Linked DNA regions of Rattus norvegicus. Each later gene encodes a partner of the first gene's protein in a complex. Links are inferred from orthologs where the notes say so. Each region holds a gene or a part of one and is shown on either strand. Other genes may lie near its edges. The genes, in order: Actl7a and Tes.

The links.
Region 2: the proteins of Actl7a (region 1) and Tes are in contact, whole or in part, in a crystal structure (PDB 2XQN), measured with the Homo sapiens proteins. The link is inferred for Rattus norvegicus from reciprocal best matches to the Homo sapiens genes ACTL7A and TES. Residues at the interface, in NP_006678.1 of Homo sapiens: Leu28, Gln29, Thr30, Ala31, Ser32, Leu33, Arg34, Asp35, Gly36, Pro37, Ala38, Lys39, Arg40, Ala41, Val42, Trp43, Val44, Arg45, His46; in NP_056456.1 of Homo sapiens: Asn311, Glu312, Tyr313, Thr314, Gln315, Ala316, Glu317, Leu323, Phe326, Leu335, Ala336, Gly337, Glu338, Ile339, Tyr340, Val341, Tyr353, Pro370, Glu371, Val372, Gln373, Arg374, Val375, Thr376, Tyr377, Ala384, Phe389, Leu398, Ile399, Gly400.

What each region holds. Positions count from the first base shown.
Region 1 is NC_086023.1:76,242,960-76,246,291, forward strand, and holds Actl7a (actin-like protein 7A), read left to right. Parts: upstream 1-1,212; 5' UTR 1,213-1,228; coding exon 1,229-2,551; 3' UTR 2,552-2,688; downstream 2,689-3,332. UniProt on the Homo sapiens protein: Essential for normal spermatogenesis and male fertility. Required for normal sperm head morphology, acroplaxome formation, acrosome attachment, and acrosome granule stability.
Region 2 is NC_086022.1:46,365,684-46,369,508, reverse strand, and holds part of Tes (testin), read right to left. Parts: intron 952-3,825; coding exon 763-951; 3' UTR 1-762. UniProt on the Homo sapiens protein: Scaffold protein that may play a role in cell adhesion, cell spreading and in the reorganization of the actin cytoskeleton. Plays a role in the regulation of cell proliferation. May act as a tumor suppressor. Inhibits tumor cell growth.

The DNA.
Region 1 (3,332 bases):
AGCCTCAGACACACGGTAGGTGTCAACATGTGTGTGCAAGACATTGAGGAAGGCTGTCTTCTTCTGGACATTGTCTGTACACCTGAGCCTTAATGTTCCCACTGTGGGACTGAGCGGCGTCTGATTCAGTGCACACTCTATGACTCTAATGAAGGATTGCAAGCCTATGTTCAAAAATAGTTCTTACGGTTATGTTCTCGTCACCTTAGTACCCAAAAGTGAGGCAGCAGGGCCTGTCAATTACTACAGCAACAGTAGACCCCGGTAAAAATTAACTCAGATGGTATCAACCTGTCCTAATTTCTCTAGTGCTTTCTAACCCTGCCCACCTAGAGTGAAGCCCTCACAATAGCCCACGCCTGACAGGACCTGTTTGTCCCCACCAGGCTTACTTTTCCCACCCACCCCATCTAAACTTTCACGTTCTTTCCTATGGTCACATCGGCCTTCTTGCAAATTCTCTCAGTTGGGGTCAGCAAACGTGTTCTCTCAGAGACCAGTCACATTTATTTTCATTCAGCTTTTGGGCCAGTCTTTGTGATGTTGATTCAACTGTTTGCCAGACTCCCAGGCAATCCATAAGGGACATGAGTATGGCTACTCCAATCGGTTTATACACCGCCATGGGCTGGAGCTGGCTGTGTCCTGCTTGCCCCTGCACTAACTCACCAGCCACGTGACTTAGTCCTCTGCACCTACTGCGTCCCTAACACATGTCACCTGGTCACCTTCAGCTCCCTACACAACTACTGCCAGCTCAGGGAGGCTTGCCTACACCACATCGGCTTGGCCCATCCCCTTTCTTTCTCTTCTCTGATTTTTCTCTAAAAACTTTTCTAAATTTTATTTTTTGTTCAACCAATAAATATGTTGTGCTCTCCCCGCCCCCACTCCACCCGACCCCCGTGCACACCAACTCGAATGCAGACCAGATAAGGGCAGGATTCTGTTGCTCCTCTTTTTACTGTGGTACTCCTAGGTGCTTTGCATATCACAGGCACTCAACCACTATGAACAAATCAATCTTTCCTACAAAATTGGGGAGTGGGACTTGAAAGACAGTATCTCTAATGTACCCTAGCACCACTCTCCAGGGTCTAGAAAGCCCTGGGTTGCTGAATTATGTCACAATCAGTGATGTCACTGTTGGGCAGATTCTCAAGCTGTCCTCTGATTTAAGCCTTTCAGGCCTTGTAGCCAGCAGGATCGAGAGCTTTCTGAGAGCAGTATGTCTCTGGATGCTGTGTGGGCTCCACAGACAGCAAACATCGGGGACGGGCCTGCCAAGAAAGCTAGTGACCAGACCTCCATGCAGACACAGGTCCTCCAGACTGCCTCCCTAAGAGATGGCCCAGCAAAGAGGGCAGTATGGGTCCGTCGGGACAATGCTGAGAAAGAAGAGCCTGTTAAGTCAGCTGTGTCCAAGGATAGGCCAAGGCTAGAGGTGACCAAAGCAGTGGTTGTGGACCTAGGTACTGGCTTCTGTAAATGTGGCTTTGCTGGCCTGCCAAAGCCCACTCATAAGATCTCAACAACAGTGGGCAAGCCCTACATGGAGACAGCCAAGACTGGGGATAATCGCAAAGAGACCTTTGTGGGGCGTGAGCTCTTTAACCCAGATATACATCTCAAACTGGTCAACCCCCTGCGTCATGGCATCATTGTGGACTGGGACACAGTACAGGACATCTGGGAATACCTCTTCCGACAGGAGATGAAGATCGCCCCAGAGGAACATGCGGTCCTGGTTTCAGACCCACCACTGAGTCCTCACACCAACAGAGAGAAGTACGCCGAGATGCTGTTTGAGACCTTCAACACGCCTGCAATGCACATCGCCTACCAGTCCCGCCTGTCCATGTACTCCTACGGACGCACCTCTGGCCTGGTGGTGGAGGTCGGACATGGTGTGTCCTATGTGGTCCCCATCTATGAGGGTTATCCTTTGCCCAGCATCACAGGGAGGCTAGACTACGCGGGATCTGACCTAACGAACTACCTGATGAACCTGATGAACAACTGTGGAAAACACTTCTCTGAGGACCACCTTAGTATTGTGGAAGACATCAAGACGAAATGCTGCTTTGTGGCCCTGGACCCCATTGAAGAGAAGAAAATCCCTCCCAGTGAACACGAGATCCATTATACTCTGCCTGATGGGAAAGAGATCCGTCTGGGTCAGGAGAGGTTCCTCTGCTCAGAGATGTTCTTCAAGCCATCTCTAATCAAGTCCATGCAGCTGGGCCTCCACACCCAAACCGTGTCCTGCCTTAACAAGTGTGACATTGCACTCAAACGAGACCTCATGGGGAACATCCTGCTCTGTGGGGGCAGCACTATGCTCAGGGGTTTCCCCAACCGTCTGCAGAAGGAACTGAGCAGCATGTGTCCCAACGACACCCCACAGGTAAATGTGCTGCCCGAGAGAGACACCGCAGTCTGGACTGGTGGTTCTATCCTGGCCTCGCTCCAGGGTTTTCAACCACTGTGGGTCCATCGCCTTGAATACGAGGAACATGGGCCTTTCTTCCTCTACAGAAGGTGCTTCTGAACAGGTGCAACACGTACGCTGTGGTGACCATGTGCTAGCTTTACCGTCCGAGGGCTGAACCTTTCACACGTGGTGTCAAGCTGGCATGTTCATTTCTGTAGCATTAAAAACCCCTTGTGTCTGTCCCCTTCCCTTCAGAGTGTGTCCGTATTTCCTGACATAGTAAGAGCCACATGGATGCGTGCATCGTCTTAAAAAGTGCGAAAGCCTGGGCGTGGAAGGGCTGTATGAAAGAATCACACGCACGAATGCTAACTGCTCAGAAAGTCTCTCCCAGGAGAAACTTGCTCTAACATTAGTCTGCCCGTTGTGCTTCCCACAACGTTGTTGTTAAAATATACTTAAGGAAAAATGTCATCAAAACAAATTAAGAGTAAATGATGTTGAAGGATAAAGAGGCTCTCCATCCACAGTACCCTGCGGAATGCTAAACGGGTTTATTCTCCGGCAAAAGCAGCACCGTATCTCAGCTAAGTATTCTTGCTAATTGAGGCATCAACACAGGATGTGACTTTTGTGCTTAAAAGCTCGCACTTTGGGACTACACTCAGGTCCTGAACACCCAGTTTAGTTGCCAGTTAATAAAGACTTTATGGCTTGAATCCATACCCGAGTGACCTTATATGGTGGACACATCATAATATTTCGGGAGGTCCAAGTGAGATCCCCAGAGACCAGACCTCAAGACATTGAGGGTTTCAGAGCCCCTCAGAGAAGGGTAGGGTGCAGCGGTCAAGGGACTTCTAGACAGTGCAGAACCAGAGACATCCCATGGTCCCAG
Region 2 (3,825 bases), on another chromosome or scaffold:
ACCTATATATTCTTTGGGTTTCAAAAAAATTAAATGAATGGCCTACTTTTATCTTCTGGACAAAAAAACAAAAAAAAAAAATCTCTAAGAGCAAAGTGCACATATTGTCCTAACCACATACATATAAAATATTCAAGGCCACAGATGGAGGTCGCTAGATGACAAAAGAGGATACTGAGAGGTAAAGTAACCAGAGAGAGATGCAGGAGGGAGAGGCCCCTCTGCCTCCATGGGGGATGCAAAGGCTTAGGCACTGGAACACCCAACGTGGACCACACTGCCTGCCACAAGGAACTCCTCACTGAGCTGACGTCACCATCATCAAACCGCTCGACAGGCGGTTGTAACTTCCTTTACATTTCCCATGGGGGACAAGCATGGAAGTTAAAATGTTCATCTCTCCCAGGACACTAATTTTAAGTGATTTTATATATATATATATATATAATATATCTAGCACTAGGAGTATGCGGTTATAAGGATTGATTAAATTCAAGCTTCCAACTCAAATATTTAATGTGCAGAAATAAAAGCTATAATTCTTTACTGTTTTTTTTAAATCATGCGCTTAAAGCAGTCATTTAAAAATAAGACAGACAAAATTCATAATGGTTAAAAAGAGAAAAATATTGGACAAAATCTTCCGGTTCGTTATGTAGCTTTTTTTTTTCCTTTTATTTTTTATTTTTTTTTTAAACTGCAGTTTATCATGAAATGCAGGCCACTGTAGACAGCTATGGCTCAATACTGCTTGGTGTTCACTCAGGACATCATCTTCTTACACTCCACAGAACAGAAAACCATCCCTTCCACAGGCATGAACTTCTGCCCGATCAGGCACTTGCTGCAGCAGGAGCAGAGGAAGCACTCCGTGGACGCGTGCCAGCTGAAGTTATTGTACGTCACTCGCTGCACTTCCGGGTCGATGGCATTGTGGCACCCTTGACACACCTGCTCGGGGATGAATGGAGAAGAGGGTTAGAGACAGCGACATCTTTGTGAGACACTGTGCCGACGGGGCCCTGTATGCTGAGTGTGCCGAGAAATGGCAGGTGACGGACAGGGTGGGAGTGCGGTCCGTAGATGTCCCTCAGGGTGTAAATAGGAAGTTATGATGGCAAATCCCAAAGCACCGCACTTGTTTCCAGTCAAATTTTAGTAGATTTCACCGAAACAATTAGAAGGAATCTCTAAGACTGTTTTCCCGCACTCATTAACGCTCTGAAGTGGTAACATCACTAGGATGTGTCATGCCTAGGACACTGACACAGGTGACTGTTAACACCCACCAATTTCAAGAGAGTAGTAAACTAAAGTCATGCTCAAAATAATTAAGGATTTGAATAAAAGTACAGACAGTATTTGAAAACGAATGAGGGGTTCACACCATAAATATAACGTGTAGTTAATCAGCTTCTGTTCTGTCCTAAGTTTAGTCATCGTTTATCTGTGATCTATGCCATGAACTTTAATACCTCCCTTCCCTGCAGCACCCTTTGTTTTGTTTTGTCTGGGAGAAGGTATTCGGCCGGACCTAACTTCGTGATACTTCTCCTCCCTCCGCCTCCCGAGGGCTGTGATACCGGGTGATTTAGGTAGTGCTGTGCAGGAAACCCAGGACACCATGCACATTGTGTCAGGACAGTACTGACGGAGGTGGTATATTCCTAGCCCACCATTCAGTATCCTGGGTATGTTATACTCCAATATACTAATGAGGTAAACATACGCGTAATATTCTTAACTGATGATACACATGAAGAGAACGAGAAGCAGCCATTAATATTACAACAGAAAACCACCTCACGGAAAGCTTCAACGCAGGAGAGTCATTTGCATTGTTTATATATGACCTGAATAAAATGAGAAACATCTAAGATCTTGGTTTTACAACAGCTGAGGGAATACCATGTGGCACTGATCAACCTTAAGTACCACTTGTCTCTTGGTTGGGGATTACTGCAGTGGGACGGCCATTGTTGGACAATGAGGTGACCTGCATCACACAGCCACTGCAGACCTGAAATATACTTTTTGTATATTTTACAGCTACGTACCTTCTTATTGTAGAGACTCTATCTACAGGTCTAACAACTACCTCCTGGCTGGGAAACAGACATTCTTTGCATAATGCAGATAGGTGTCCTGAATACAAATAATATTCAATGTGGAAGCTCTAAGTTCCCCCTGAATCTGCAGCCGCATCATGCAAATGGTTGCTTTTGCATGGAATTTCTGTAGTGCGATAGCTCACGTAGAATGTTCTGGTTTTCTGTACTTCGTATTAGTCTTCCGACACTTTAGAACTGTGTGACAGAGGACCCCTTTGCTTTCCTTTTTTACTTTCTGTTTTGTAACATTATTTGTGGATCATTTTATTATTAGATGAAACATGGCCTTTTCATTTTTAGTATAAGAAAGAAGACAAACCAGTTATTCAATTGCACGTGAAATTGAGGGGAGTCTTTAGGTCAGAAAGAATCACACGGATACACAAATGGCATGGTGTTGCATTTAGGGTTTATGGTTCCATACAGTTTAGCTTCACAACTGCAGTGGGTCACCATTCGTCTAGGAATCTTACATATGACTCCAGCTAACACCAGCAGATCCTTGCTTATCCACAAAGCTCAAAGCTACATGCCACAGAGGGCCTGCCTGGGGACTATACCTTTCATCGCAATGTGCCTGGCAGTGCACTGCCTGTGAAATAGTCCTCACACAGCTCAAAGAGCCAGTTCCTTCCATCCCTCCTGCTTTCTTTTATTTGAACACAGGATGTGAGGTAGATAATGCTGTGTCGTCATGGGCTCTCTGGCTGGAGGACCCTGAGAGCCTTACAGATGCGAATCCTGGGTGGCCAGTGGGAGTCTGGTGTGCACATGGGGACAAACTGGGTTTCTTCCCATCTCACTCCTCCTTCCGGGTGATTTTTACCTCATAAATGCCCTGATTAGATTGAGGACATTTCTCCGGGTCTAAACATGTTTTCTCTTTCACTTCTTTTATATATATCAAAATCTTTGCACAGATTAACACAGTGAATTAAATAATGTGCAGCCCATTGTTTCGGCACTGGTGAGATAAAGACAGCTCGTTTTAATATTAGGCAGTGCGTCAAGACGGAAGACGGGCACACAGCTAAGCTTATTTCTCTGTAGACGTACTGGACTCTTAGAACTATACACAGGTACTGTTTTCCCCCTCTCCTAGGAGTTTCCCCTATGCGATAGCTTAGGGAACTTTAAACTAAGAAAACGCTGGAGCCCATCCTTCTGATATTATCAGCCAGGAAGGCTTATAAGCTGACTATATATGGTCATCTTTTCACCGTGTATCTACGTTACCATCTCTTGGCCAGCATGCAGCAGCAGGCGCTCTGTGGAACACAATGGATGTCATAAAAATATGCTCTCACATTAAGCACCTGAATGTCCCACACGGCAACCTAAATATACAGGCCAATTTCCTCTGTATTCGATCAGTTCCACAAATGTTTGGAAACAGTCACTCAGCAATCTCTAGATAGCAAGTCAAGGGCCTCATGGGTGGATTAGCAGCATGTAGTGAAACCATTTTTTTTAAAAGATCTATTTATTTTAGTATTTACATGTATGGGTGTTTTGCCTGCATACATGGCCATGTAACATGTGTGTCCCTGGTGCCTGAAGAGGCCAAAAGACCCCGTAGGAATGGAGGTACGGATGACTGTGAGCTGCCACGTAGGTGCTTAGAATAGAACCCAGGCCCCCCGGAAGTGCAACAAGCTCTCTTAACTGATGAGCCAATGGTAAGGCCCCCGGAAACCACTTTAAATGGAATCTG